5 linked regions of the Nothobranchius furzeri genome follow. The protein of the gene in region 5 interacts with the protein of the main gene of each other region in a biochemical or structural test. Links are inferred from orthologs where the notes say so. Each region holds a gene or a part of one and is shown on either strand. Other genes may lie near its edges.

The links.
Region 1: of the proteins of hspb1 (region 5) and mapkapk5, one has a biochemical effect on the other in vitro, tested with the Homo sapiens proteins (4 studies listed by BioGRID and IntAct). The link is inferred for Nothobranchius furzeri from reciprocal best matches to the Homo sapiens genes HSPB1 and MAPKAPK5.
Region 2: the proteins of hspb1 (region 5) and cs form a complex in vitro, tested with the Homo sapiens proteins (2 studies listed by BioGRID). The link is inferred for Nothobranchius furzeri from reciprocal best matches to the Homo sapiens genes HSPB1 and CS.
Region 3: the proteins of hspb1 (region 5) and akt1 form a complex in vitro, tested with the Homo sapiens proteins (3 studies listed by BioGRID, with this or other methods). The link is inferred for Nothobranchius furzeri from reciprocal best matches to the Homo sapiens genes HSPB1 and AKT1.
Region 4: of the proteins of hspb1 (region 5) and mapkapk2a, one has a biochemical effect on the other in vitro, tested with the Homo sapiens proteins (17 studies listed by BioGRID and IntAct, with this or other methods). The link is inferred for Nothobranchius furzeri from reciprocal best matches to the Homo sapiens genes HSPB1 and MAPKAPK2.

What each region holds. Positions count from the first base shown.
Region 1 is NC_091757.1:53,482,366-53,488,619, reverse strand, and holds part of mapkapk5 (MAP kinase-activated protein kinase 5), read left to right. Parts: intron 1-28; coding exon 29-216; intron 217-1,886; coding exon 1,887-2,007; intron 2,008-2,092; coding exon 2,093-2,223; intron 2,224-2,355; coding exon 2,356-2,471; intron 2,472-2,637; coding exon 2,638-2,742; intron 2,743-6,254. UniProt on the Homo sapiens protein: Tumor suppressor serine/threonine-protein kinase involved in mTORC1 signaling and post-transcriptional regulation. Phosphorylates FOXO3, ERK3/MAPK6, ERK4/MAPK4, HSP27/HSPB1, p53/TP53 and RHEB.
Region 2 is NC_091755.1:37,199,980-37,206,233, reverse strand, and holds part of cs (citrate synthase, mitochondrial), read left to right. Parts: intron 1-156; coding exon 157-264; intron 265-809; coding exon 810-875; intron 876-1,913; coding exon 1,914-2,045; intron 2,046-4,811; coding exon 4,812-5,000; intron 5,001-5,101; coding exon 5,102-5,301; intron 5,302-6,101; coding exon 6,102-6,231; intron 6,232-6,254. UniProt on the Homo sapiens protein: Key enzyme of the Krebs tricarboxylic acid cycle which catalyzes the synthesis of citrate from acetyl coenzyme A and oxaloacetate.
Region 3 is NC_091758.1:33,915,574-33,921,827, reverse strand, and holds part of akt1 (RAC-alpha serine/threonine-protein kinase), read left to right. Parts: intron 1-1,460; coding exon 1,461-1,589; intron 1,590-6,254. UniProt on the Homo sapiens protein: AKT1 is one of 3 closely related serine/threonine-protein kinases (AKT1, AKT2 and AKT3) called the AKT kinase, and which regulate many processes including metabolism, proliferation, cell survival, growth and angiogenesis.
Region 4 is NC_091743.1:50,980,972-50,987,753, reverse strand, and holds the start of mapkapk2a (MAP kinase-activated protein kinase 2), read left to right. Parts: upstream 1-2,981; 5' UTR 2,982-3,213; coding exon 3,214-3,459; intron 3,460-6,782. UniProt on the Homo sapiens protein: Stress-activated serine/threonine-protein kinase involved in cytokine production, endocytosis, reorganization of the cytoskeleton, cell migration, cell cycle control, chromatin remodeling, DNA damage response and transcriptional regulation.
Region 5 is NC_091750.1:66,230,181-66,236,219, reverse strand, and holds hspb1 (heat shock protein beta-1), read right to left. Parts: upstream 3,205-6,039; 5' UTR 3,115-3,204; coding exon 2,733-3,114; intron 2,282-2,732; coding exon 2,218-2,281; intron 1,993-2,217; coding exon 1,842-1,992; 3' UTR 1,604-1,841; downstream 1-1,603. UniProt on the Homo sapiens protein: Small heat shock protein which functions as a molecular chaperone probably maintaining denatured proteins in a folding-competent state. Plays a role in stress resistance and actin organization.

The sequences.
Region 1 (6,254 bases), on a different chromosome or scaffold from region 5:
TGACCTAAAACCTTTTGTTTCCCTGCAGAGCTGCGACTTGTGGTCCCTCGGTGTGATCATCTACGTAATGCTGTGCGGCTATCCTCCGTTCTACTCCAAACATCACAGTCGCACCATCCCAAAGGACATGAGGAAGAAGATCATGACGGGCAGCTTTGATTTTCCCGAAGACGAGTGGAGCCAGATCTCTGAGATGGCGAAGGACGTCGTACGCAAGTGGGCCTTTGTGCTTTTTCCTCTTTTGAAAATCCTTTTTTTCCCTCTTGTCAGACAGTTGAGTCGTAAGCAGTGATGGGAATAACGGCGTTCAAATTAACGGCGTTCTTTTTTAGGTAACGGAATAATCTAATTAGTTACTTTTCCCACTGTTGCAACGCCGTTACCGTTACTGGTTGTGCGTTACTATGTGCTTGTCGAACGTTGAGCAACAGTGTGAGGCTTTCAGACCGCCACACTTCAGCTGCAGCCAGGGAGAGAGAGGTGTCGGTAACGCACTTACAAACACGATGATGATTGGCCGGGTGGGCGGAGACCCTCACTGTCTCAGTCGCTGCATTCTGTAGACACAACAGAGCAGCGACGGGAATAACGCCGTTTATAATAACCGCGTTACTAAAAAAAAAATATTTCTTTCAGTAACGAGCAAACTAATTAATTACCGTCTTTCATTTATCCAAACTTTGTTTCTGTTACTGATAAGGAAATGCGTGCGTTAAGCAGCGCGGTGTGTTGAAGCTGTCATCAGCTGATCAGGAGCTAAAGAGGTAGATGTTTTCATCCAAGAGCATCACGGCCGTGAAGAACGAGGAAGACGTGATGAATAGTCTACGCCCTTCTTAGCGTGACAGCGGGACGTCCCAAAGGTCCGCTCACCTGTTCACCTCTCAGACGTCCTGATCTTCTACCTTCCTAGATCATCCAGCTGTAACCTGTTTCTGATCATGTCTTTAGTCCCGCTGTAACACTGATGCATCAGTCTCACACGTCATGGAGCTCAGGTGTTATCAGAACTACCTGTGTGTGTTTACCATCCAGCTTCAGCTCTTCTGTGGTTGGGTCTGACCCAAGTTAGTAAATGCAAGTCCTCCATCAGGCTTGTGCCTCTTCTAGTGTCATTTTAAAGGATTTTATTTATTTATTTAACCGTTACTAGATTACCAGCAACAGAAATGCTGCTAAAAACACACAATTATGTGAAGCTGGAAAATTTTAAATACTGTACAAAATTACATTCATGTCTGTAATTTAACTAGACTGAGAGACCATTTAAAGGCTCGGGAACCTTTACAGGTGTTTCTATTTGCAAATTATAAATTTTAGCTGATTGGGGTCTTGTTAAATATCACACAGTGACCTTTTAATAGTCTACATAAGTGTAATGTTCCTGTTAGTAGTTCCTCCAGTTAAGTGCTCATTTATTGAAATTATTCAGGTTTATAAAAACATTTGGACATACATTTTATTAAGTTCCAGTCATTCGTCATTTATATTTCGCTACTGTAGTAATTTATAGTAAATTAAGTTCATTTAACCCATTTTTCTAGCATTCTTTAATGAAAAAAGTAACTAAGTAGTTATTTTTCTTGGTAATTAGTTACTTTTATAATCTCGTAACTCAGTAAATGAGTTACATTTTTGACAAAGTAATTGGTAACTATAATTACTTTTTAAAAGTAAGTTTCCCAACACTGGTCGTAAGTGTGATGGTTCAAGTGGTAAAGAGTAAGAAACTGTAGGAAACTTAAACCTCGCATTACTCATGAAAAATGGTTTCATTCAATACAAGTTTTTATTTATTTATTTATTTTTTTAGTTTTTGTTCATCTCCAGTTTTCCACACCCGCTTTGATTAAACCTTCACGTTAATGCCTTTCATCTGCCTGCAGGCTGCTGAAGGTGAAGCCAGAGGAGAGGCTGACCATCGACGGAGTCTTGGCTCACCCGTGGTTGAACTGCACCGAGGCGCTCGACAACGTGCTGCCGTCCCCGCAGATGATGATGGACAAGGTGAGCTGGAACCGCGTTGACACCACAGACGAATCTTTTGTCCGTTTCCTCTGGACGTTATGGCGAGTCTGTGATGTTTTTCCAGGCCGTCGTGGCGGGCATCCAGCAGGCACACGCAGAGCAGCTGGCCAACATGAGAATTCAGGATCTGAGCGTCAGCCTGAAGCCACTAAACTCCGTCAACAACCCCATTCTCAGGAAGCGGAAACTGCTCGTGTATGATCAGTGTATTAATACGTTCATATTGCTGCACCGACGCTGTAGCTTTGTACGATTACGGTCTCATTTCAGACAAGTCCTTATTAGGAATCCTATGCTTATGTTTGCTCTTGGTTCTCGATGTTGCAGGCCCAAACCAACTGATGGCTTCTTGATTCATGACCCAGAAAATGGAGGGGAAGACTCCAACGTAGCGCTTGAAAAGCTAAGGGATGTTATTGCACAGTGCATACTACCACAAGCTGGTCAGTTGCTGCAAGTCCATCATTCTAAACACAGTTTAGCCTCATCTATTGTTATTTTCTACAGAAAATGTGATTTTTTATGGGGTTTACAGAATTATACCAAATCTTGCTGACAGCAGAAATGCATAGACAGAATCCTCTGAGGTGAATATTTATGTTATTCCAGGAGAGAACGAGGATGAGAAGCTGAATGAGGTGATGCATGAAGCCTGGAGGATCAACAGAGACTGTAAGCTGCTGAGAGACGGTCTGCATGGACTCAGCTGGGACGGTCCGTACCTCTTTTCTTTGGTTTCAGAAAAAAATCTGAAAAGGACGGATTTGTATTTCTGATTTGGGTTGTGTGAAGTATAGTCAGGTCCATAAATATTGGGACGTCGACACAATGCTAACATTTTTGGCTCTATACACCACCACAATGGATCTCAGATGAAACGAACAAGATGTGCTTTAACTGCAGACTGTCAGCTTTTATTTGACGGTAATTACATCCAAATCAGGTGATCGGTGTAGGAATTCCAACAGTTTGCATATGTGCCTCCCACTTGTTAAGGGACCAAAAGTAATGGGACAATTGGCTTCTCTGCTGTTCCATGTCCAGGTGTGTGTTCTTCCCTCATTATTCCTATTACAATGAGCAGATAAAAGGTCCAGAGGTCATTTCAGGTGTGCGATTTGCATTTGGAATCTGTTGCTGTCACGATGAGATCCAAAGAGCTGTCACTATCAGTGAAGCAAGCCATCATTAGGCTGAAAAAACAAAAGAAACCTATCAGAGAGATGGCAAAAACATTAGGCGTGGCCAAAACAACAGTTTGGAACATTCTCAAAAAGAAGGAACGCACCGATGAGCTCAGCAGCACCAAAAGACCCGGAAGACCACGGAAAACTACTGTGGTGGATGACTGAAGAATCCTTTCCCTGGTGAAGAAAACACCCTTCACAACAGTTGGCCAGATCAAGAACACTCTCCAGGAGGTAGGTGTGTCTGTGCTAAAGTCAACTATCAAGAGAAGACTCCACCAGTGTGAATACTGAGGGTTCACCACAAGATGTAAACCATGGGTGAGCCCCAAAAACAGGAAGGCCAGATTAGAGTTTGCAAACATCTAAAAAAGCCTTCACAGTTCTGGAACAACATCCTACGGACAGATGAGACCAAGATCCACTTGTACCAGAGTGATGGGAAGAGAAGAGTCTGGAGACGGATCCGAAGCATCCCACCTCATCAGTGAAGCATGGTGCTGGAAGTGTCATGGCGTGGGCGTGTATGGCTACCAGTGGAACTGGTTCTCTTGTATTTATTGATGACGTGACTGCTGACAAAAGCAGCACGATGAATTCTGAAGTGTTTCGGGCAACATCATCCGCTCATATTCAGCCAAATGCCTCAGAACTCGTTGGACGGCGCTTCACAGTCCAGATGGACAGTGACCCAAAGCATACTGCAAAAGCAACTTAAGAGTTTTTGAAGGGAAAGAAGTGGACTGTTCTGCAATGGCCAAGTCAATCACCTGACCTGAATCTGATTGAGCGTGCATTTCAGTTGCTGAAGACAAAACTGAAGGGAAAACGCCCCAGGAACAAGCAGGAGCTGAAGACTGTTGCAGTAGAGGCCTGGCAGAGCATCACCAGGGATGGAACCCAACGTCTGGTGATGTCTGCGTGTTCCAGACTTCAGGCTGTAATTGACTGCAAAGGATTTGCAACCAAGCATTGAAATTTATACGTTTGATTAATGGTTCTTATTCTGTCCCATTAGGCACATTTGCAAACTGTTGATTCCTACACCGTTCACCTGATTTGGATGTAAATACCTCAAATAAAAGCTGACAGTCTGCAGTTGAAGCACATCTTGTTCGTTTCATCTGATATCCATCGCGGTGGTGTATAGAGCCAAAAATGTTATGTCCCAATATTTATGGACCTGACTGTAGGTTTAGGTAGTCGGCATCTTAAGCCGGGCGTACACTGTGCGACTTTTTCACTTTTTTGAGCCGATTTTCCACTCGTGCGAGAATCCACGACATCGGGGCGAGTTTTGCGCTGAGCGTCGTGTAGTGTACAGGGGGTTACGAGAGGCGATTAACACCACGTGACCAGCTACCGATCAGCAGTCGTGAGGTCGCACGGACTTCTGGCGTGTTTAAAATTTCGCTCGTCCCTCGTGAGGGTATCGCACTGTTGAAGTGGCGCTGCGAGCAGCTGCGACCCAAAAAGTACCAGAACCGCACACGGCGCATGCGCAATCATGCATCAACGCCGCTCGCTATTTCCCTAATAACACACGCTGTTCGTTTTTGTTTCTACACGTTTTTTTTACTCACAAAGATTGTCAAGAAAGCGTGTTTGTCGTGTTCGTGTCAAATTAAACTGATCACAAAACACAGATTTACTTTCTTTATTTCGTTTTCCTCATCCAACCCCCATAAATCCCTGTGTGTCCCCTGCAGCACTCCCGAAGGACAACAGGCAAAACAAGACAAAAAAGTTTGACGTGTTGTGTAAAAACTGCTATTTTTAGCATATTTTTAGGGCCGACGTGTTGCTACCAGACGTACAGTGGGAGCAGTCAGGTCGCATGCGAGAACTGGGTCGTGCAGTGTGAGCGCACGACTCGTGAGATCTGCCCTGCGAGGAAGTCGTACAGTTTGAGCTGAAGCTGAGTGCTACGAGTGTAAAAAATGTACAGGTACGCCCGGCTTTACATGCAGCAGATCTCAGGTCTCACCCCGGCTTTCCACTGGATGTGTAAGAGGCGCGTAGCGTAATAGACTTGTTTTATTCACAAGCTCCCTTCCCATCAGGAGCATTTCAGGTGTAACGCCGGGGACACACCGGCCGCGGAAGCGCCACGAAGCGCCGAGAAGCGAATCGCTCACGAAATTCGGCCGCTGCTCGCCGCTCCTCAGTTCAGATCAGACGCGCCCCAGTCGAGGCGCGCCTCGGCTCAGCTGTAGTTTTTCTTTTAAACACTTGGTGTCCTCCATTTCCTCTCTGCCTTTTCTCAGCTCTTTTCCTACGTTTGAGTGTTTGTGCGCGTGCGCGCGCGCGTGTGTGTGTGAACCTATGGTATGAGTTGTTTCTGCCAGTTGAATCTCTTGGAACCCGCTCCAATTCTGCAGCTGTATCCTAGCAGTTTCTTCCGACATGGGTACGTAAACAATCATATTTTTGGGGGGTCGTACAGCTCCTTGTGTTTCTCAACTTCCATAATTCATTTAAAGTCGTCCATCCTAACTGCTTGCCTCAGACTTTCTGCCTCTCTGTCCTGTTTGCTCCGGTGAAAAGACACCCAAAACCACTCCCCCCTTCACGTGGTCACACACGCACACAAGTTCGATGTGTGTGTATGTGTGTGCGTGTTCGTGTGGTTTTTCTGCAGTGTCTGTTTACGAACACATTTGACTATTGCGGAATTTTATTTTGAAATGCTTTATTTTGTTAACTTTACCGGCCTGCCTCTTATGTCTACGTTTGACTTCCTGCCAGAATTGACGCGATTCACCCGCGGCTCGCGAAAAAAATAGAGCCAACGCCGAAATGATCGCTGCACGGCGCGGGCTGGAGCGCCGGCGCGCGCCGGCGCGAGGCGATTCGCGGCGCTTCGGCGGCCCATGTGGTCTATAGAATAGCTTAACAAGGGCGCCGAATGAAGGCGGTCCCATTTTCGCGGCGCTTCCGCGGCCAGTGTGTCCCCGGCCTAACATGGCAGCAAAAGCGATCCATGCATAATTTAGACTGTTCACTCGATAACGAGCAAGGACCGTGACTACGGAGGTT
Region 2 (6,254 bases), on a different chromosome or scaffold from region 5:
ACCCTGGCTTCATATTGGCTCACATTTTTGTGTTCTATCGAATTAACAGGCTCCTGTTGTATTGGTCTGTTCTCTATCTCCACTGTTATTGTACCAGGACATGCCGACCCGTGTGATGCTACGTGTTGAGGTCAATGGTTTTATTTTCTTCCACAGAATCTGAGGGATGTTTTGTCAGACCTCATTCCCAAAGAACAGACCAGGATCAAAAACTTCAAACAGCAGTATGGCAAAACCAACATAGGCCAGATTACTGTTGATATGGTAAGTAGTGCTATGTTGAGTAAATCTGAAGTGAGCAGAATATTGGAGATGCAAGTCCAAGTTAAAAGGGAATTAATCTAGGGAAGGGCATTGAGGCCAAAGGCTGTGACGAAGACTAATTGTGGCATGGTAGTTGGCTACATGTAATCCATTTAGGCCTGCCCAGGCTCGTTGGCTGTGTCAGGTATCACTGTACGGTCATCTCCCTCAGAGGTCACGTATAAACTGATTCCTGCCAACAGAGAAAATTTCAGCTGAGTCACTGAAAACCTGAAACAGGCTGGTCTGGGCTCACACATCCACAGCACTGCAATAAGGCCTAATGGATCATATTGATGTGTATTGAAAATAAATGTATTCCTCTTAGTCTTGTGGTCATACCAAGTCTCAGACCAGTATATACACCAGTATGTAAAATCAGTCAGTCGTGTACTTTAAGGCTTTAAAGGGGTTCCAGCGTAGTGGGCTTGTTACTGCAAGTTAATTTAATGTCGCAGATATTTTGTGGCCAGAAAATGCTTAGAGTTCCTCTGTTCCTCCCACAGGTCTATGGTGGTATGAGAGGGATGAAGGGTCTGGTATATGAAACCTCAGTGTTGGACCCTGAGGAGGTGAGTGCTACAGTCACGCTGATGACGTATACCGACTCACTGGCCACTCCTGTGTCTTCCTGCAAAAGCAACAGTCTGACCTTCGACACAGTTTAGATCACTAAGAGTTACGTGTGTATGTAAGTTATTTCAGTTTCCTTTCGCTTAAGAGTCCCATCTGTCAGCATTTAGCAGATAAACCAGTGAAAGAAGAGATTTCTTGTTTGTGTGTCGTTAGTCGATGCTTTAAACTCTTCTGACAGCTTCTCGGAGGACTCTTGAATCGACAGTTTTCAGCCTAAAGTGAGAGCTGTCAGCAGGGAGTCTTGTCTGTGTTTTCACATTTCACAAGGAAGGACACTTGGAGCTAGGGGTGGGCGACATGGCCTCAAAATAAAACCATAACATTTCACAATATTCTGATGAAGTGGCAGAGTACAGTTGTTTTTCATTTACTGACTCTTCTGCTATATTACTACATCCTTACTAAATCTGTGTGACTTGTTTCACATAGTACAATTTCTTTTAATTTATTCTGAATTCCTTATATCCATTCTAACCATATTAACATCAAAACGGCATGATTCCCAAGTGAATGATTGAAAACTTAGCAGATCAGTAACCACAGATGTCACATTTTTACTGTTTGACTTGTCACAAAGTTCTGAGGTTCTGCAGAACTCTGATTTTTGGAAGATCTTACTCCTCTTTATTTGAATAACAAAATATGTCATTGTTCTTGTGCAGAATTAGGTATTATCCAGTTTGGTAGCTGATGTTTAAGAACTTCAAAATGCATGGAGGGCTGAGCAGGAGAGAACAGGGTGATGGCGTTCATGTCCAGAGTTCAACAGTCACAGAAATGAGACAGGTTTTTCTTTTCCCCGGGCAAGAAGATTTTACCGGTATTATCGTGAACAATACAGTACGGCCCATCCCTACTTGGAGCTTGTATTAAAGTTTCCTTTTTTATTTAGCATTGCAGGAAAGTGTGAAAGAACGTTGGATAACCACATGAAATAATTTGTTTGACCTTTTCTCTTGTCCGTTAACCCACAGGGCATCCGCTTCAGGGGCTACAGCATTCCAGAGTGTCAGAAGTTGCTGCCCAAAGCTCCAGGAGGCGAGGAGCCCCTGCCTGAAGGCCTGTTTTGGCTGCTGATCACAGGACAGGTCCCCACTGAGGAGCAGGTGAGCATCACAATAAATTATTGATGGTACACGAGTGAACTGATGTTCTTTTTGCCTCAGTCAGTCCTGGAATCTCAGACGAGGATTTCTTGACTTCCCTTTACTTCCTGTTGAATAATACAGGGTATCCGCAGGTCCTTAAAAAGTCTTAAAACGTCTTAAATTTGCTTTTCCAAATTTAAGGCCTTAAAAATCCTTAAAAATGACAAATAATCCTTAAATACAGTTTCCAAAGGTCTTAGATTACCAAAGACCCAATAAACAAAATCGTTTTGTTTCTATTAAATTTTTTGAATTTCTAGTTAGTATTCAGCATTTTTTGTGTATGGTGTTGGCGTAAGCAGAACCGTACACATTCAGTTGGTTGTGACAGGGGACTATTTTTAGATGAGCACATGAGCTGGTTAAGCTAGTGGGAGCTTGCGCCATGGGGACGTGCAAGTTTGATGGTAACTGGATGGTTAATCCCACTTTTGCTCGGTTCCAGGCAATAGCTAGAAATTATAGCTTAAATTTAATTTCAAAAGTAGCTTAAATGTGGTCAAAGTGGCCTTAAAAAGGTCTTAAAAAGTCTTAAATTTGACTCCCTTAAACCTGCAGATACCCTGTAATAGTGATTCTGTCTGAATAAGAATGTAATTTAAACAAAGGCTTGTGACCAGAGTATCAAATATGATGTAGGATTATAAAAGTTAAGAGTAGATTACGTTTCAGGGTTTATTTTTGACTTGGTGTTTAAGCTCAAAGCACTTCACCGTTAATAACTGCAGCTCAAGCTGTAATTATATACGTGATACACTGGTGCAAAAAAGTATTTAGTCAGCCTCCTATTGTGCAGGTTCTCCCACTTAAATAGATGAGAGGCCTGTTATATTTAATCACGGGTATACCTCAACTATGAGGAATAAAAATATCCAGAAAATCACATTGTCTGATTTTTAAAGAATTTATTTGCAAATTATGATGGAAAGTAAGTATTTGGTCTCATATAAACGAGCAACATTTCTGGCTCTCACAAACCTGTAACTTCTTCTGTAAGAGAAACAGAATTGTAGTCCTGCACCAGGCTGGGATGACTGAATCTGCAATAGGTACGCAGCTTGGTGTGAAGAAATCAACTGTGGGAACAATTATTAGGAAGGGGAAGACGTACAAGACCACTGATAATCTCCCTCCATCAGTGGCTCCATGCAAGATCTCACCCCGTGGGGTCAAAAAATATTCAACCTCTGTCATTGCCAACAAAGGGTAGATAACACATTGAGATGGACTTTCATTACTTGCCAAATATTCATTTTTCCACCATAATTTGCAAATAAATTCCTCAAAATCAGACAAATGTGATTTTCTGGATTTTTTTTTCTCTCTTTGTCTCTTATAGGTGAGATATACCTTTGATGGAAAATTGCAGGCCTCGTCTTTTTAAGTGGGAGAAATTGCACAATTGGAGGCTAAATACACTTTAGCCCCACTGTAGCCATGGAGGCTAATCCAAACATACATTGGTTGAGCCCTTTTCTACAAATTTAAACCGTATTTTTAAATCTATTAGGATTAACTTCAAACATTTAAGTCTAAAATGCAAGACTTCCCTCATCTGAAGACTGGAGGGGCTGGTGCAGCTGGTACCTAAACATGCTGGGCTCTAAAAGTAGTCCGTAATGTCATGTAGTGGGAAACAGGTCTACACACCTGAATATTCACTCACAGGCCTGTTTATTAGGTTCCAGTTGGGACCCGTTTGGTTTACAGAACTGCCTCAAATTTCCATCCTGTCCTTTCAGAGACCTTGGTAGGAACCCGTGCTTATCTGAGCTGCTAGAACCAGTCTCATCCACACAACTGCTGTCCAAGCTCTTGTCTTTTAACCTGGCTGATGCCTGTAGCATCACATCTCTAAATGAACCATGCTCAGAGCAAACAACAGCTAAGACAGGACCAGAGAAAGCTGCTGTTGTGTCCTTTGGCAAGACACTTAAACCGCCTTGCCTGCTAGTGGTGCTCGTACGGACCGGTGGCGCCAGTGTTCAGCAGCCTCACCTCTCTCATTGCACCCCATGGCAGCTGTAGCTACATCGTAGCTCATCTCCACCAGCGTGTGAATGGGTGAATGACAGATTGTGTTGTGAAGTGCCTTGGGGGGTTGTAGAACCCTAAGAAGTTGCTACACAAATACAGACCATTTACAGGTCCTTCTGATAAAAAACAAAAGGCATATTGTGATAAAGTTCATTATTGTCTGTAACTTACTGATAAATATTAGACTTTCATATATTGTTTTTGGAGATTGAAATTTGGATTTTCATGAGCTGTATGCCAACATCATCAGTATTAGAAACGATAAAAGGCTTGAACTACTTCAGCTGTGTGTAATGAATCTAATATATATGAAAGTCTAATGTTTATCAGTACATTACAGAAAATAATGAACTTCATCACAATATGCAAATTTTTTTAGAAGGACCTGTACTTTAGGAGCACCAAAACATGGACACTTCACGTGGTTATCTACATAAGTGTAATGTGATCTGTAGTCACAGCTGACTCAAGAGGACGTCTGCTGGGACTTTATTGCTGCCGGCTTATCTTGTTGCAAGTGTTTATATGTAATTAAGTGATAAACATACTTTTCTTAGCTAATTGTAACATTTCACAGAAAAATGACTTTTGCCCCTTTTAACAGATGTGTACTTGTATAAAGTGGCCAAATAAGGACCCCCCCTCCAACCCCTTAGCTTGACCTTAACTTGACCCCTCCTTTTCTAGGTAAACTGGGTGTCCAAAGAGTGGGCGAAAAGAGCGGCACTCCCCTCTCATGTTGTCACCATGCTGGATAATTTCCCCACAAACCTGCACCCCATGTCCCAGTTCAGTGCCGCCATCACAGCTCTAAACAGCGAGAGCAGCTTTGCACGGGCCTACTCTGAGGGGGTCCATAAGTCCAAGTACTGGGAGGTGAGGTCGCACACACACACATCCGGTCCTGCCAGTGACCGAACATGAGAAGGAAAAGTCTGTTCTACTGGGTGAAATTTTATTATTTTGGTTTTTCCCAGTTTGTCTACGAAGACTCCATGGACTTGATTGCCAAGTTGCCCTGCATCGCTGCTAAGATTTACCGCAATCTTTATCGTGAAGGCAGCAGCATCGGAGCCATTGACTCTAACCTGGACTGGTCCCACAACTTCACCAATATGCTGGGCTACAGCGAGCCCCAGTTCACTGAGCTGATGAGACTCTACCTCACTATCCACAGGTAGCATCTCAGATTCACACACACACTCCCAAACGGGTGTGAGGACAGGCTTATACCCATAATATCAGTCATTTAATCTCTAAACTGAATGCGGTTTGAAGCCATCCCCATCAGCTTGACTACTATGGGCCATTCCCATCTGTACCGGGCCGGGTAGCGTAGGTTGTTTACATGTCTGGGTGGCCTGGTATTTTTCCGGGCCAACCAAGGCTCATTCTCAGCCCTCTTCTCGAGGGGGTCTGCTTCAGGCCGACCAGGGCCAACACACCCACTGCTGACAGCAAATTCACACCTTCCATTAGAGCAAGCCTCTGATTGGTGGGTAGAATCAGCCCACATGGGCTTAAGGCAAGGTTGTGTGGAATCAACCGGGCCATGCTGGGGCCGACTGGGGCTACCCGGCCCGGGCCGACCCGGTACAGATGGGAATGGCCCACTAGTGAAATGTGACCCAATTTTGGGTGTTTATTTTTCTGTATTTCCTCATGTCAACCACGATATCTGCAGCAAAAAGACCTGTTTACAAGAGTGAAACTAACAGTGTTGTGAACAAATAGCTTGGTTTATGCCACATTTTTAGTTTGGATAAAGAATGTTTTACTGAAATGTCCAAAATCTTTGAAACACAAAGGTCAGTTTCCAGTGTTTTCTGTTTTTTACTAAAAAGCATGGAGTAGATTAAAAGTGGACAAAGAGCTGAGCTCATGTAGGATTAGATGGTTTCTTTGGACTGCTGAAAGAATAGAAAACCATTGACTTGATTAGTAAATATTTACCAATAACTCTTTTTGTTTTAATAGCGATCATGAAGGAGGAAATGTCAGCGCCCACACTAGCCACCTAGTGGGGAGCGCCCTGTCTGATCCCTACCTGTCCTTCAGCGCTGCCATGAACGGTCTGGCTGGTCCGCTGCACGGCCTGGCCAATCAGGTTCGTCCACATCATCCCCTAGA
Region 3 (6,254 bases), on a different chromosome or scaffold from region 5:
TGAGCATGCTTCCATCACCTTCTGCAGACCTGCTGTAGTGCTTGCATCAACAGATGATACTCAGCTAAAAAAACTACGGGGATATAGGTTTTGGTCCGCATCGCCCAGGGTGTGGAATATTGGCCGATTCCAATCATCAACCAAATTTCTGAGGGTATATCTCAAATGTAGATGTTTGGAAACCATCCTCATGCAACTTTATTTGAATAATGTGTATTTTTCACTCAGTATCTTTTAGTTTTGTCCAGCAAAGCCACACCGCAGTTATCTCTGCCGAATGTCCTTCCAACATCATTTCTAAGCGAAGTACAGAAAAAGCAGGAAAAGCACACCACCACACCATTAGCTGCTGTTTGTTTTCTACCGTCTGATTTGTTCTCCGTTTCATCAATCAGAAGTGTGTTTGAAGAGGGCAACAGAAGCTCATATTGACAGATCTTCTACATCTCTGTACACGCGCTCTCCTGCACACAAAATGCCACACTCCTGTGTTGGAGGAAATGGAGCAATTACGGACAGCTTGGTGATGCTCTGCAGGGGGTTAATATGCAGCTCCGTAATTAAAAATAAATTACAGTTTTCCTGTATAAATATTCAAGTTCCACATCACCGTGTGCCATTGCCTTGTTATGGTATGTAAGCTCCCCCCCCCCCCCCCCCCCCCCCCGCGTCTGGGCAACATCTGGCAGAACATGTCCTGAAGCATCACTGAAATAAATTGAGTTTTGTCTGCCTTCAGAGAGATTCAATGGTGGGATGCGCGTACAGTCTGATTGAGACTGACATGCATGGCTTGAGGTTATAGCAGGTGTCTAAAAGACTAGCAAAGTGTTAAAATCTAATTGAGGATTTAGGAAATGATTTATTGGATTAAATCATATTCAGCTGCCTTCTCTCTTTTTTTTCCATTCAACTTATATTCATGATTCATTCATGGTCTGTCTAGTGTGGAAATCAAAACTTATTGGCTTTTGCGGATATTTTATTGGTGTATGAGTAACGCCACAGCTCTAACATTAAATCCATGTTTACATTTGATTTTTTAGTTTAATTTTTTCTAAAACCTTTTTTATATCCATGCACCTTGTTTTTACCTACATTAGGGTCTCGTATTACAAAGTTATGAAATCATGAGTCAAAGGGGGATTTTTCATGGTTTCTGTAGTATTTTAACCAGAGTGCATCATAGAATAATGAAAATGCAGAAAAAATGTGTCCAGATGTTTGCTAAATTCAGCCTTTGTGTCATAGATAACAAGAATGAGCACCACTGTAACTGCAAACGTGTTAAAGGGAACAACCTGTTTGTTGTTGATCATAAAATCACAAAACTGTTGCACTTATCATTTTGGGAAAACAAAACAAACTCCTGAGTAAGCAGCGGAGATTCTAAAATGCAACTTTTTTTTCCTCATCTTTCATCACTTAACTGTTTTTTGTTTCCTGTTTTGTCAAATCAGGAGAATACATCAAAACCTGGAGGCCAAGGTATTTTCTCCTCAAGAGTGACGGTACATTTATCGGATACAAAGAGCGACCACAAGATGTTGACCAGCTGGAAACCCCCTTAAATAACTTCTCTGTAGCACGTGAGTGTCTGCTCCAAAGAAACCCCCTCTTCTCTGTGTCTTGGCAGCTTGTTCTACCCTCCAGTTTGATGCTTTTCTTCTTTTTACTTGCTTTGTTGTTAGAAGTACTTTCACATACTTGTTCTCAGATGTGTCCTGTTTGTAAAATATAGTTTAAACCCTTTGTATTCTGGGGGAAACTGTGTCTAAAAGCCTAATAATATCCTTACTGAAAGGGAATCGAGAGTAAAAAGACTATTGATTTTGGTTTGCTTTCGTGGCGAGCCCTCCTAGATGTCCTGAATGCATTTCCTCAAACTGTCACAATAAATCCGTTATCGACGCTAATGTATAAATACTACATCTAGGACAAAATACTCAGTGTTTTGCACCTTTTTTCTAAGAGTCTGTTCAGCTGATAAGGTTTTTTTTTCCCCTGCTCATCATTGCCACATTGAGTGCATAACTAGTGTTTTTAAAGTGTGGTTTCAGTTTAGCTATTTGTTAACCTCAGGAACTCTAAACACAGGATGCACAAAGCCACTTGGAGAATGCAGCAGATTGTAGCTTACCCAGGGCTTTCCAGGATTCCCTGGATTCTTTTCTGGATTTCAAAAGGAATGCACAATGATTACATAACTTCAAGTTCAAAATGTATATTTTTTGTGTGCATCAGTCCTCAATAAACTTAAAAACAGCCAATTTGCTGCATTGAGTCTAAATTGATTTAGAAAGCCAAGAGTTTGGGTTACATTTTGAAATCATGGTATTGAGGATGTTTACGTGGAAACTGGACTTGATAACATCATGTGATAGTTAAGGCTTTCACACGATGTGGTAAAAATGAATCTATTTAAATACACTGAAGTAACATGTTTATATTGTCCCAGAGTTAAGGGAATTGGTTTTAAAGAGATGCATAAAAAAGTTAGCTGATGGCCTAAAATCAGAGAAAAGTAACGCATTGCCAGTTGTTTAATTGGGGTATGTAATTCAAATGAAACTTTCTGTGCTGCTAGTTGGTTCTGTACTACCTGTAAACACTCAAAACATGGAAAACAGCTTTCCATCTGTTTTGGTCACTTTTTGGTTTAGGAATTGTATGCATAAAACAAGTTGATTCAAAAAGTCTCCGTTTGTGACATCACAATTGCAGGAATTAGCATAGAACCACCACTCACCTGTCTGTTGTCATGCTCGGAATTTTAGTTTTTAGAATTTCCTTGGCCCCATTTGATGCTTCAGTCAACAATATACTGTGCCGTAAAATTTCCAAGCTACACAAGTGAGAGTAGGGGGTGGCACATCTGACCTATTGGCCAGGAGTTGAAGCGTTTGCCCTTCACCTATTGCATCAAATAGGATGTCGCTCAGAGGTTTGAAGCTGATATGAGGCTGCCGAAGAGATGCATCTGAAGGAAATTTTAGTGTTTCCAGCCATATATTATGTTGGGTGACTTGTTGACGAGTCTATGGAGTGCTTTTATTGGACCCTTGTGCCTGCTCTGTCTTCTCGATCCCCAGTGAGTCGTGGAGGATGGCTGCTTATACTGAGCCAGGATTCTCTGGAGGTTTCTTCCTGTTAAAAGGGAGTTTTCCTCTCCACTGTTGCTGCATGCTTGCTTAGTATGAGGATTGCATCAAGTCACTGACACTAGTCGGTGACTTGATGCAATTTGCTGGGTTCCTTTATATAGGAAACTTTTTTCTGATTGGCTTAATGAACTGACCTGGATCGGAATGTTTATTATATGAAGTGCCTTGAGACGACTCGTCGTGATTTGGCGCTATATAAATAAACTTGAATTGAATTGCATTAAAGAGCATTTTTGTTCAAGATGGTTCTATTCCGTCAGTGATACGAGCCTTCGGACGATGAGTTAGACATTATTTTAATTCTAGAGTAGCTTGACGAAAGCATTTACTGTGTCTGCAGTTATTGTTATGTTATATCCTTGATTGGCATACATGACTGGAATCACAAGCATCCTGGCTTTCTAATGAGGTACATATGTGTGTGTGTGCATTAGGGTTGTCACGATACTAAAATTTCAAACTTGATTCGATACTTGAAAAATAACTCGATGCTCGATTTCGATACTATTTAAAAACACCAATTTATTGAGCAAGTTTATTCGAAAAATAACATTCCTCAATTTATATTGCAAAAATTAAATGTTAAGAATTAAGTGTATTAAGTGCTTAAACCTTTCAAGTATCAGCATTTTTTAAAACGTGCATACAAAAACTGGTGAAAGTTAACACTTTAAATCATGAATTGTCTCACTATGAATACACTATTTGCAGAGTGATGTTTTGCTGCTTAAACTCTGTTTAAGGTGCATTTTTGTCATAAGATGTAATGCCATATGTTTTGTTCTGTACTTTTGAACAACTCTGTTGGCCAATAAAGGGAGAAAAGGAATTTCTCCACAGTAGGACAAAGGTACATCTACCGGTAATCTTAATAAAAACAGACTGGCGCACGGCAGTGACGTCATTAAAAGCGCCGGTTAATTAGCCGCAGCTAGTCTGTTCACGCCTAGAAATCCCAGACCCGCTCCAAACGAACAGGGGAATCATGTTAATGATTTCTAACAAAACCTTTCGACATTGAGATGTGTTTTGGTGCAGATAATGTCTTATTTCGAGGCTGCACCATGGGTGCCCGTCCGCACCCGTTATATGGATATACACTGATGGCGATTCGCTGATGGATCTAAATACCCCGGGGAATCCAAGTAGCACCAAAGTTGTCAGCGTGAGTAAACAAACGTACTGCATGCTAGAAATTAAGTCTGGGTTGCAATAAACGGGAGTTTTCCTTTAAGCACATAAGCGTGAATATACAACTACGTGTCGGACTTGGTATGCTAATTAAGTTGGGCTGTGAAGCGCCTCCCAAATTCACTGTTTATGTTTTTGTTTATTTATTTGGCAGACAAAACTTGGATCGGAGACAACTCGCGTGGGAAATTGCAATGTAGCCATGCGGCGTCTTCTTCTGTTTGTCTGGGAGGCGGAGGCTGCTTTACGGCATCTGGCTGTCGTGCGTGTCGGTGTACTTGAAGAAGGCTGTGTATAATAGTCCATAATATCGATGCCACAGGGATGAAATATCTAATTTAGATACCACTTTTAGCATCGATTTATATCTAGGTATCGATTTTTTTTACAACACTAGTGTGCATAGAGTGTTGCAAAAAGATGCTGATTTGTTGTGGAAATTTGTGATGTCCCCTCCACCAGATTAACTCACGGGCATAAAAAAATTATCGCTTTTAAGAATCGATCGGCGAAAGGCTGAGACTATCACTGATGATCAAAAGTTTGTCCAATCGCCCAACCATACATAGTACTAATATGACCAAAACCCTTTTGTGCCCCCCTTAATATGTACAGCTGGTAGGGAATTATCACTTTAATATGACTAAAAACTTCTGTGTATAATTTTTACATGGAAACACTGGAAATTGTCTCACCAGTATCTGTCACTGCTGCAAACTAATGAAACTGGCTGACATTAATGCATTGGATGCTACCCCCCCGTTTGCATCTCTTTTGCACAGTGTGACAGAAATGAACAATAAAAAAGTGCCCAGAGCAACCTGGTTCACTCCATCTTCACATCAGAGAAAGTTCCTGCGATGAGCCGTGCAGATGACTGAACGCAGCAATTAGACAGCACACTGTTTGTTTAACAGAATGTTTCCTCTCCGACGCTCTTGAGTTATCGCGGCTATTAGCTGCCTGATTTCTAGTATTTATCTGGGCTATGCTCTGAGGCTCCTGTCTCCTTTTGTGTTTTTGTCATCGCTGCGACCCCACAGTAGAGGACACATGGTGTGTCGCTGCTGACGGGGGCGGCTGCAGCTGGATTACACATTCACCCTGATGGAGCCATGTTGGATCTCAGTGGTGGTCCACTCGGAGTCCTCCATCGATCAGAGCGAGGCCGTTTTTGTGTCACATCCTGACATATTTGCTGACAAGTTTCATTTGAGAACAGATGTTGGTGTGAAGTAGGTGCAGATGGAAATCCCTGCTTTGTAAATTCAGTGTTGTGTGTAATTGTTTTTACAAACAGCTTACATAACAGTTATTTGCCCCAAAAGTAGAAAATGCACAAAATAATATTTGATACATTTTTGTTTCATTTTAGATCCGTGAACTTTGGAGATGGGCGGGGGAAAAAATCAGCTGGTGGTCGGAATCGGCCAGTATTTAACACTAACGTCTTAATCAGTGATCAGTCAATGTAAAAATCAAAAATCTGATGTTTGTGTTTTTATTTGGGTTCATGAATGCACCTTTTACAAACAGCAGTGAAAAGTTTAAAATTTTCTCTGACAGGGAATGCGCTAAATCACACTAGCAAATGCATGTTTTATCATTTAGAAGCACAGTTAAGATAACGAGTGTTATTTAAAGGGATTTCTCATTAAGTAACTGTGTAATACTTGTTCCTTTTGAAATTCGATGGGTCACCTGAGTTGTGCATGCATGCTGAAGGTGAAAATGTTCTTCAACCCCATCGACTGCATTAGCTGCAGAAATGGAAATGACAGGAATGCAACATGCAAAATTAGCATTAATAGCCTCGCCTACCTTATTGTCAATCTGTGCACCTCTTGTATTTTTAACTTTTTATTTTAAAATAACACTAAGAAAAACCAAAAGAAAAAC
Region 4 (6,782 bases), on a different chromosome or scaffold from region 5:
ATATGTAGAAAGCATCTGCAACTGTACTGCGTGTGTACGTATGGTGATCTTGAGGGCATGTGTGCCACTCCTCTTACATAACTCAAGGTAATTGCAGTGAAATGCATTCTTAACAAAAGTACAGGGTTCTCTCTGTGCCAGCCACATTTTTCTATATGGAGAAGCTGTCCTTGTACTTTGAATTAAGCACATGACTTATTATATATCCTGTGGTAATAAGGTGCTTGGTGAAATCCTTAAATTTGTTTATTTATTTTTTTAGGATCTTTTTAGAAGCTTAAAAATTGAGAGATAGCCTGAAAAGCCATCCTATAAATGTAAATATATTGTCCGGCCATTAACCATGGAAAGAACCTAATCCTCACCCCGATGGAGTCCAATGGACTTGACGTGTTTTTTCGATTTTTGTTGAATGAGCCCCACCTCACCACTGCAACATGGACCCCATGGGACAAACCACCAACCCTGCTCAACAATCCTCTGTCCTTGAAGAGCCACTCAAAAGGACAGTGGGTCATGGGGCATAATCTATGGTTGTCTGTCAAACTGTAACTACACACAATTAGGCAGTGCTATGACCAGTTGAAGAAACAAACAACCTGATGTGTTTATTTGTTTGGAAATCAGTCAGTGGTGCAGTCCGCCTTACATCGTCAAAGAAGTCGAAAGTTGATGCCAAAGCCATTTCAAACAAGCCTCATTCCTGAGTCAATACCATCGCTGTAGTTTATCGGTTGCAGCTATGGTGCTAAGCCAGATCCAACAAACATGGAGCACTGTGATTGGCAAGAAACAAAACTGCTCAGACAAATAGTTGATCTGCTGCTGAGACTACCATGAAGCATGGCCTGACCAACCTGCTGAGCAAATCTTTTGCAACTGTTGGTTTGTCTAGGTTTCTAGGCTAGTTGAAAAACGTAATCAGCCAAAATTTGTCCTTTATTGCAGGGCCTCCTTAAAGAAAACTACAACACCTTAGACTCATAGATAAAACATACAGATTATAACCTTTTGTCTATTTTAAAGAATTCTAAAACGTTACTTCATTAATAAATAGACTAAAATGTGTGAGATAAGTCCCAGTCTCTCTAATCCATTAATAAATAACTTCGTTCAAGAGTGTGTAAATGTACAATTTATTCACAATTCTTTGTTATCGTTTTTGAATAACTTGGAAAATGTGCACTGGAGCACATCACATGCATACAAGGCAAAACAAACAAACAAATGTCAGGTTTGTACATTCAAAGTTCAACCTACAGAAACTTTACCTGACACACTGAATCATTTCAGTTGGGAACACAGGACACTTTTCATGCCTCAGCACTTCTGTTGCGGAAATAAAAATGCCCAACGACAAGGTTGCCTATTGAATATCAAGATTATGCTGCCATCTAGTGGTGAAATGAGGTTCTGCAAATACATTTAAACAATCAAGACGAAAATACAAAGCTAAGAGTTTATAATGAATTCATTGGTGATTCAAACATGTTTTTAATTCTCTGTTAATATAATTGTGTTTTATGCTTATTGTTATAAATTAATGTTTTTAGAGTTTAGACTTGACAAGCACTAACTATTCAAACATCTGTTTATCAATGAGAAAAAAAGAACAGTTTATTAAATCAGATTAGATAGGGACTGGATGAGGGAAAATAAAAAAGTCTTATTGTGTTGATGAGATAATTACTTTATAAGCTGGAAGTCCCACCAGTACTGGAATTGTACGCTTCATTTTAGCACTTAGTGTGATTATGAGGACACACACACACACACACGCACACACACGCGCGCGCGCGCACACACACACACACACAGACACACCTACATTTGTGTAAATGTTTTACTAATATATCTGATCAGTTCATTTCGTGTTCTCTTTATCCTAAAGTGTAATTTCATGAAGAGGAATCTAAATGAAAAATACTGAATGATCTAAGTGCAATTCTAAACGACACTGCTACACGTCCCAAACTCTCATTTAAAAACTGAATCAAACTATTGACTTTAAATGAATATTATTTAAGTACCACAAATCAAACAATCTTGTCTTCAGGACAATTTACTTTAAGAAAAACATGTTTATCAATTAAGTTTTGACACCAATAATCTCCCAGTGGAGATAATAAAAGTAAGAAATGTTTGTCATGTATGCGTGTGGTTTTAAATCGACTGTTAAAAAATAAAAAAGAAAAAATATATAAAATTATAAATGAGTGTTCAGTGCCTAATTCCTTATTGGGCCGATCCTTTATTTGGGTCTACCCTAAATGCTCATTCCCACTTCAGAGGGCTTAAATTATCCCATTAACATTTGTTTGGTAGCAGTGCGTCTTCCCAACTAGAAAACTGAAACCGGATTAATGAGTTGAATTCATTTTGATGTGAAACAGTGATGTGGAAACAGAAAAGCCCTAACCTTGAGGTAACCTGTTCCTCTCCTCTCACAGACTAGTCTGCGTCTATTTTGGTCCCTCGCTGTTGCTCTTTAAACGCTGTTAGTGGCCGTGTGGACGTCCCCTTGTTTATGTACTGAATACAATCCAAACAATCAAACTCAACAAACATATAAAACGTGGTTTACTTTATGATTCTCTGGCGATTATCAGCGAGCCAGATAATCCGGTCATTTCCTCTGTGGTACTTCTCCTTTAAGAACAACACAAAAAAAAAACTGCCATGACGTCATGAGTAAACCCTGTCCACCGAAAAGTGAAGTGTGTTTGTCGCGTTAGCTTGGTCGGACTTTTCCTCTCATTTCACGTTATTTTACTAGGTGGTTTTGGTATTTTCAAAGCCGAATTGTGAGATTTCTTGATTTTAGTAGCGTAACACAACATTTTAAGCGACTTGAAGGGTGTTTTAATAAGTTCCTGAAGCGTTTTCGTCTCTTCGATTTTTTGAGGAACCGGTGGAAGGCGGACACTACCGGAGATGGATAAGCTAACAGTTAGCTTAGTTGTTAGCCGGGAATCATAGGTCATAGAATAGGCTCGAGCTAGCATGCTAAAAATAGCTTATCTGATATTTTTCGGATTACCAAGTAACTTTGTTAATCTGTAATTTTAATATTACTGTCGGCTTGTCTCCGGGCCTTAGTCTCTTACGGTGTTCGGTCACCAGCTAAGTCGGGAAGACCCAATTTGTGTTCAAAGGGAAACGACGGAGCGGTGTTGTTGAGTGGTGGCGACTGATTATCTCTAAGCCCAGAACATGAACATGCTAAGTAACCCTCAGAACCAGCCACGGTTTCCGAACCCAGCGGGCCAGCAGAACCCAAGCGGGCAACAGAACCCTCCGGGTCAGTTTGCCCCCTTCATTTCGAAATCCAACCTACAAATCAAGAAGAACGCCATCACAGAAGACTACAAGATAACCAACCAGGTGTTGGGGCTGGGCATCAATGGAAAGGTGTTGGAAATCTACCAGAAGAGCACCGGTGATAAATACGCCCTAAAGGTGAGTTACAGCTGGAAACAACAGTGTGCATGAACTGGTTATTGAAGGTAACACCACTTGAAGTGGCAGTAGAGGATACAGATTTAGAAAATAACACATAAACACACCCTAATCCAGTGGTGTCCAACTCTGGTTCTTGCAGCCCAACTATCTAGCATGTCTTACACTTTTGTGTGCTCCAGATGGTAATCATTGACTGATTAACAAGATTCTACAGAACTTGAAGACATGCTTAACAAATAATTCAAACACTGAGTCGGATGTGTTGATGCAGGAAAATGGCAAACATGAGTAGGAGTTGCCCTTATGAACAGCACTGTTCCCTTTGAGAAGACCTCCCATTTTGGTATATTTTTATAAATTTTGCTACAAATGTGTTAACATTAATATAATTTAATTATATAAAATAGCATTTCCACCTAGCTGTGACGGATAATGGCGAACTTAAAAAAAATAAAACGTAGATATTTAGTAGTGCTGGGTATCGATTCAAATTTCCAGAATCGAGTCGACTCCGATTCTTGAGATTTAGAATCGATTATCACTATGTAACCTGATCGATTCTGATCCGATATCGATTCGATTCGGGTCATCAATTTAAAAACATTTTTGCAGTTACCTTAATTCCATGACTGCATAGTTGTGCAGTGTATTGATAATATTGACATTCAGTGATAAATTAATGAAATATTGGCCATTAAACATGGTTGTAAAGATCAGTCCCTCTCACAGAATGTAATAATAATAATAAATAAATAATAAAGTCCCATTAGTTGTCACACACACAGGTGTGTGTGCAAAATTTGTTCTCCGCATTTGACCCATCCCCTGGGGGATGGGGTGAGCTGCAGACACAGCCGCGCTCGGGAACTATTTGGTGGTTTAACCCCCCAATCCAATCCCTTAATGCTGAGTGTCAAGCAGGGAGGCATTGGGTCTCATTTTTTCAAAGTCTTTGGTATGACCCGACCTGGAATCGAACCCCTGATCTCCCAGTCTCAGGGCGGACCCTCTACCACTAGGCCACTGAGAAAGGTAATTAATGATGTCAAGTGTTTCCAGTGTTTTCTAGGACATTATTAAATTCAGACGTTAGGAATTCAGCCAAAAGATATTGCTGTTGAAAGCAAATGCCATTTTTATTCAAATAAGTTTTACCATATGACAAAAGACATTATTTGCCAGTGCAAATGTAAACAGAAACAGAAAGCTCAAAATTAACTGCTTTCGTTTTACTTTGTGCAAATAGAAATTAAAAGGTACAGAACCTTAAACAACTGTTTCACAGTCTTGTGCAAAAACTTAAACACTTCAGGTATCCAGAAACATTCAAATGCCGATAAAGTACAAAAATGTAAACTTGTGAAAACTGAAAGGCATTCCATATTGATGTACAAACAAAATAGAACAGGAACATAAACTTGACTAAAGACAGACTGTGTAAACTGTCCTTATGTACATCACTTGCGAATGGTAAGATTCTTCTGCAGGAAAAGTAACTGATTCACATGACCAGGGGTGAGACAGCTTCTTTTTGCAGTAATTATATCACCTGCAGTTGAAAAAACCCTCTCAGATACGACACTGGTCCCAAAGACACAGAGATATCGCTTAGCCATGCGAGCCAAAAGAGGATACTTTTTCATTCTCTCTCCACCAGACCAGAGGATTGTCCTGCAGTCCTGCAGGTTTCCTCGCCCTGTACCTCTTGATCTCATCTTCTGCCACCTCTGCACAAGTTTTCTTTGCATGCCCCCTCTCCTCTCTTGGTCTGTAGTCTTCCCCAAGGAGAGACTCCAAAGCACTGGATTGCTTGGGGTTAGGTGCAGGGGGGTTGTTTTCCTCCTCTTCCTCCATTTCATCAACTTCATCTTGCTGCGTGAGAGAGAAGAAATACTTATATGTGGTGTTGTGCAACAATAGGCTTTGGTTTGGCAATGAATAACTTAACATAACATAAATCTGTCATTTTGATCTATAAAGTCAGACAACCACTTGGATATCAGGAAAAGTGTTCAGTCTTGGCTATAACAGAAGGTGCATCCTCACACCTGTAACCATCATCTCATCTGGCAGGAGAACAATGATGAATACATTTCAGTTAAGAAAAAGAAAAACAGAGTTGTGCAGTTGACTGCAATCTATTTTATTGCACACGAACACAGTCAGCAGTGTAAAATGAGCTAAACAGTGCAAAATATCAGTCCAGAATAATTTTTTGGCATCAAAATATAAGAGGTAAATTCCATAAAAAATAATGTAGAATCTAGAATAGAGTTTGTAAGTGGTATGCATTGCTGGGGGGTGAGTGTCTTGTTCCCCATGTAGTTGTCCATCGTTGCTTGTTTTTTTTTCTGCATGAGAAACACAAATAGACTGAAATAAGTACACATATAAAATAAAGCAGCACACACACTACAACACTAAATCAATATTATATTATTTGAATTAACAATATACAGTGATCATTTATTTTGACAAAAATGTGTTGTGAGGCGTTTTACAGTGTTAGATAGTAAAACAGCCTTTTAATAGTAAAAAAAAAAGACTTTCTGAATTTCTCCTGTATTTAAAAATTGAAAACGTACAACTATGCCGCGTTATATTCACCTGGACACAGCTCGTCTGCATATTTTTCACCGCGGAGTTGACCATTTTAGAATGAGGAACATAGTTATGGGTTTGTGCCGTTTTTCTCTTAACGAGAACATTCTTATAAACAGACGTGCTAAATTTGGCAAGCGCATGATTCACAACACGGAGGAGATTCACGATTGCATCTAGTCAATCAGAAGTAGAACACCGTAGACTGACACAGCAAAAAAAACATGTTTAACATCCACTATAACGAACTCAGCTAAAGCACTAAGTCCCAAATTTGATCTGCGTGTAGTGATGGACCACTATATTTAGCTTGTTTATTTTCTGTTACTTACCGGGCTGGCGTTTCCTCTGCTGCATTTGCCCCCACGTTTTCGTCTCCAATGTTCACTTAGGGACGTCGTGCTTCCGTGCCATGCTAGATGGTTTTTGCATATTTTGCAGGTCACCCGTCTTTTCATAGCATCTAGAGTGAAGTGCTCCCATACTCGTGAGGTATTTGTCCAGGGTTTCTCTTCAGTATTGTCGCTTCTATTTTTCTTCCGTATTTCTTCTTGTTCCGCCATCTCTCACAGCAAGATGCGCGTCAGTAACGTGTTACGTCATGAACACCGAGGGCACTTATTGGCTCGTTTCTTCTTTTACGGCTCCACTGGTAGATCAGTGGCTCATTACTGCCACACACTTGCGGCAAATTGAACAGATTGTAACCGATGTCAGAT
Region 5 (6,039 bases):
TTATTAAAATCAGGTGTGTTAAAGCAGAATTAAAACCAAAACGTGCTGGAAACCGGCCCTCAAGCCCCAAATTGGATAGCCCTGATCTGGATAAATACATAATAGTTGAGAACTCATTTAGCAGTGACACTGAAACCACATGTCCCAGAATGCACTGGGGCCCTCAGCTGCTGCATGTGAGGTCTCCAGGAAGGACTGAAACCAGTTTAGTTACCAGTAGGTCTGTAAAACATGCACAAAGGTGTGTTTTAAACATTTCCTAATCCACAATTTTTGTGCGTGACACTGGTGGGAAATGGATCTTCTGCTGCTTTTTAGATTCCCAGATTCATCCACAAAACTCCAACAGGTGCTATTACTACCTTCTCAACCTTTTGAAATAATCATAGTTTGTGTTTTCCTTTGTTTTTTGTTTTTTTTTTAAACGGATGACCAGAACCCAGTTTTGTAAAACTATTCTGTTTGTTAAATTTGCCTGACGTGAGCCGGCTAGAGACCATAAGAGCCAGATATGTGAGCAGGTAACAGACCAGCATGCACTGGGGCGGGTCTGGTGTGATACATCAATAAACCACTTTCAGACTTCTGTTGCCTTTATGCACATGAATATTTATGTCCTTGAATAGAAAATGAATCACCATGGTGACACGTAATCAGTGTTTTCTCAGTTTGAGTGACTTTAACGTTTTTTGCTAGTGAACGCCTCCCCGCTCATGAGATCAGCAGACCAGGACCCAGCTGCTCTTCACATGAAGCACTTTTCTAGCTTTGGTTCCTGGATTGATGGGGTTGGCATGAATAATTCAGGCCTGCATTAAAGTGGAGGGAAACTGTGACTCATGGAGGAGGAAACGCTGAGTGTCCTTGTCCAGAGTCAGTAGCATTCAGGAACTGTGTGCTTATAACGTAATGGTCAGCTAATAGACATCTGCTTTGGCTGCCAGAGTTAAATCTGAAATCAATCCAACTATAGCTGACCTATTAGTCACTACAGGCCAAAAGCCGTGGAAGAACATTCCGCCGGTTTGTCTGCCGGCTCCCTGTGACCACACAGCACGCTGGAAGCTCAGGACATGGTGTCTATATATATAGATTTCCCCCTGCAGCTTTGGGGTCAGGAGCAGAGTTGGTCTGTGTATTTCCGGACAGACGTGCAACACGAAAGCCTGAAGGATGATGCTATGGAAGGAGAGAAAGAAGTGATGGAAACAGGTTCCATCCTACAGATGATCAGCTGGTGCAGAACAACATGAAAATAACCAGCATGGCTGGCTTCTTTCCGGCAGCTGAGCATCATTGACTGTTGTCAGTTCAGTTTAAGCCACGCCCACTTTACATGCACTAATGGGACGTTTAGTAAAATCCAATTGATCATTTGACTGAGTTCATTTATTTAGTTGTTAGCTGGCTGCATGTTATTTTATTAGATTTTGCTTAAAAAGCAAACAACAATTATGTGCAGGTAAGTAAACAGGACTTTCGTGATGCGCTTTTTGCATGGATGACCAAAAGATATAATTTAGCCACATAAATTCATTCTCAGACGTAGCTCAACTACACAGACCCATGTTGGTGTCACATCATGAAAAAAAAGACAAAAGAATATTTTTTGTTAATTTTATTTCCAAAAGCAGCTCAGTGACAAACAGGTACCTGAGGACACACGATTTTAATAATGACCACTGAGAAGCAACATCAACATTTACTTCAAATGAAAAAGCTAATTAAAAAGTAATAAAAAAAACCACAACAAGATTCATCTCCTCGAAGACGTTTGTGGATTAAAACAAAAAGCATGCATGCGTGTGCGTTGATGGCATCAGGGTGTATAGCGCTGCTATCTACTTCTGGGTCACGGCGGGTTTCTTCTCCACGGTGACGGGGATCGTGGTTTCGGTCGACTCGATGGCCATCAGAGGAGCCTCCACGGTCAGAATCCCCTCAGGGGAGAGAGAGGAGGTCACCTTCTCGAAAGTAGCGGTAGGAGGGAGGCTGGAGGAGGGGGGAGGAGACAGTGTTACACATTGTTGTAGTAGCAGAGGTGTGGCCACTAGGTGGCAGCAGACTTGTGGAGTTGAATAAACCAGATATGACTGACTAGGTGGCTGATAAGGCATTTCAGAACTCCAAACTTCAGCTTCAGATATACAGAATACATTTGACTGCATGCATTTTGCACAAACCTGCAGATTTTGAAAAAATAAAATAAAAGCTTACGTGTATTTCCTGGTGAAGCTCCTAGAAATGAAGCCGTGTTCATCCTTCCTCTCCTCGTGCTTTCCTGTGGAAACAACAGAAATTATTAAAAAAATAATTAATAAACAGCTAGTGATGTCATTCATCTCTTGTGCCATTCCGTGAGACTGAATCACACGCTTTGTTTATCTCTGTGCTCAGACCAGGTCCAGTCAACTGGACCGGATCCAGCAGTCCTTTTAAAGCTGCAGACACTGGGGAGTCACAGCAAACTGGAAGAACTGGGATCACGAGGGCGAGTCCGAGAGGGAGGAGGCCTCACATGCCACCAGTAAAAATGTAAACAAAAAGTAAAACTAAGCTGCTTCACAGGTATCTGTTGGCTTCTAGCCAGAATCCCACTCCCACCCATGTGAGGAAGAGGGGGAGGGGTCCTTTTCATCTGGAGACAATGACCTCAGTTAACCTGGATCCTGAATAAAAGATCCTGAATGTTTGCAGGTTACTTAAACACCTAGAGAAGAGAGAAAACTCACCAGAGATCTCCACAACACCATCCTTCATCTTCACCACCAGCTCCTCAGGTGAGAAGTGGTTGACGTCAAGGGACACCTTCCAGCTGTCCTGCGTCTGCTTGATCTCTGACACGCCACTGCCCATCTGCCTGGACAGGGCACGAGCCTGCTGGGCCAACATCTGTCCCGGGTACATGTGGCTGTGGGGCATCATGATGTCAGTGCCCAGGATGGAGGGCCTCAGGTAGCCGGGCCAGCGGGAGCTGGGGAACGTGGGAAAGTCCTCCAGCAGGGCCGGCATGCCGAAGATCTGGTCAAAGATCCGGCTGCTGTGGTGCCAGTCCCGGAGCGGATCCCAGCTGGGAGTGCGGGCCAGGGTGAAGGGAATATTTCTCTCAGCCATGCTTGCTGTGGTCGGGCAGAAGAAGTCTTCTCAAGTCTTTCAGAAAATGTTCTTCCAAGTTGATGCCTGACTCACATGCTGCAGAGCTTTTATACACGCTGGTCCCACCCCCCTAACGCCCTGCCCCCAGACCCACAAGCCCCCAACATGCCTACGGAAAGATCTAGAATCTATTTGTGTCTGTTGCAGCACGTGGAGGGCGGGTCTTGGTAACAGCTGCCCAGTGCAAACGTAAGAGCTCCCACCCCCACCCCTCCCATTCTGATCAGATCTGACTAGAAGCAACTGGAGGAAACCTGAAGAGCCGATGTGATCACAACATGCTGGGATACGATGCAAAAAGTAACACATAATACTCACCTGGGTTAACCCTCTGGAGGCAGGCATTGCAGGTTTGCAACAGTTACCTACCTGGTTACTCCACATATGTGTTTCATGAGCATTGTTTAACTCAGAGGTCGTCCTTCTATCAAAACTCATTTTGACCCAAACTGGGTTAAAAACTCCCAAGTTTCTTAGTGGATGACAGGAAACTGTTTAGTTTCATCAAAGTAGGAAAAAGTGAGCTAAAAACCAGACATGAAAACATCATTTTGGTTGCATTCGTTTCTCAGGGTCGTGGTTTTGCTCTAGTTTTAATACAGATGCACATTTACACACACAACGGTCTAGAAAGATGCGTCCAATAGAAAACATTTAGCAGAGTGTTGTAGAAACACCTGGAAGATGGGTTTAGGGTAAGCAAAGGGAGCATTTACACGTACGTGTTAGATCCTGCCTGGGAGACACTTTCAACTGTGAATCAATTCAACCCCTTCTTTTCGGGCTATCTACGCCAAAATACTAACTGTATTTTGATATCAAACTGGATTAAAAACATAGAAGACGTTCATTTTAGACCAAATGCATCTCAGTTTTAAACAAAATGCTGCTGGGTGTTGTCTTTGAGCAACCCTCTGGAGGCAGGCGTTGCAGATTTGCAACACTACTAAAACCTACCTACCTGGTTACTCCACATACACGTTTCATAAGCATTTTTAACTCAGAAGTATTCAGATATTTAGCTGGAAAAAAAAGAAAGAAAAACCAACAATTCCACCATTTTTCAACATGAGATGATTTTGTTTGAACATCTAGAATGAAAATGATCTAACTAATATAAACCCTTTCATGCATAAAGTTCAAAAACTTCTGAAAAGATTTTTAAAGAAAAACAAATGTTAACGTTCAAAATTTACATTTTTTAAAGAGCCACACATTTTCTTACATTATTATTATAGTATGTTATTAATGAAAACACTAGAGTCTAATGTGGTTGTATAAATAAAAGTTTACCATCAACATTCATATAAGCAAAAAACAGCTTTTAAATGGTGAAAATGAAGTTTTTTTTAAATCAGTAAACAAGGTTGTTTTTGCAGGAAAGACAGTAACAATTTAAATTGGAGCCAGTTTTTCTGTTTTGCATTAAAGGCCCTTTCTGGGAACGACCTCCAGGTGGTCAAACGGGCAATGCAGGAATTCATTTTCAAATGCAAACAACCGGAGCTTTCAGGTGGATGATCCACTCTGCATCTGAGAGACGCCAAACAGCAGGCAGCAGGGAAACTTCCATGCATGGATTAGGGTGAAAGGTCATTTGAGGATAAAGGGTCTGCAGGAAGGAAGGAAGGGGGGAGGGGTTGCTGCAAAGAACCTTTTTCTAGAAGATTCTTAAGCACAGTGCAGTGTTTTCCACGTGGTTCATTTTTGAACAGTTTTGTCACTTCCTGTTCAGAAAAGAGATATTTGAAAAACTTGCTTTTCAACGGTTTGAGGAAAATGCAAAGATGTTTATCTACTTTGATTAAATACATCCCAAATCAGCCTGAGAGGAAGTAAATGTGCTTTTATCCACATGGTAGTAGAATTAGACCATGATGCAAAGTTTCAGCTCCTTATCTGTAAAATTCACTGGTTTTTAAACGTTTTTGCTACTGTTGAGTTTCCCCAGTTCAATATAGAAGTATAGGAAATTGTTTAAGACTCTTATTTAAAATTTGTCCAGTTTCTATTTCACAAAGCTCTTGTCTGATCTGTTCACCCTTTAGTTCTGTGGCGCCAGATGGAGATCCATGCAGCAGATTTGACTGCGTTTGAGTCATTTTGTTGTGTACTGGCTGTGGCGGCCATATTTAGTCTGGTTAATCATACGAACGTGAATTCTGTAGGTTTCATTAAAATCCCTGTAGTCGTTTATGATAGTTTTCTAACAGACAAAAAAAATCAGATCAGTTGTAGAGGAGTCCCTAAAAAACAAGAATGCAGATTGGAGGTTGTTCTCTGCATTCTTGTTTTTTAGGGTGTGATTATGTGGGGTGCCATTTGTAAAGTCAAACAGTTTATAAACTTAACAGCAATATTTTGGATTATTTAGCCCATCAAAAAAACGGGAGTTCATTTACAAAAGTCACATTTTCACCATGTTATTCATACATTTATAAATGCTAAAGTTCTCAGCTAAATATCTTATTTACTAACCAAATATTTGATTTGGAGCTACATATTAAGTTTACAAATTAAATATTTAGCTCCAAATGATTTTTTTTTTCCAAAAAATTTTTAGGTCCCAGCTAAATATTTATTTTTGACTAAATTTAAATATTGATTTAGCAAATAAAAGTAGCTGGAATCTAAATATATATTTTTGAAGTTTAACATTTAAATATTTTTCAAATTAAATATTTAGTTAGTTAAGTAAATATCTAGTTTACAAGCAAAATTTTTAGGTCTGACCTAAATATTTAGCCTGTAAAATAAATATTTATCTCTAAATTAAATACTTAGCTCATGGTGGGCAAAATAACCCAGAATACTGCTATTAAATTATGACCTTTTGATGATGCGCAAACCTGCTTTGACTGGTTTTGTTTACCTGCTGGAAGA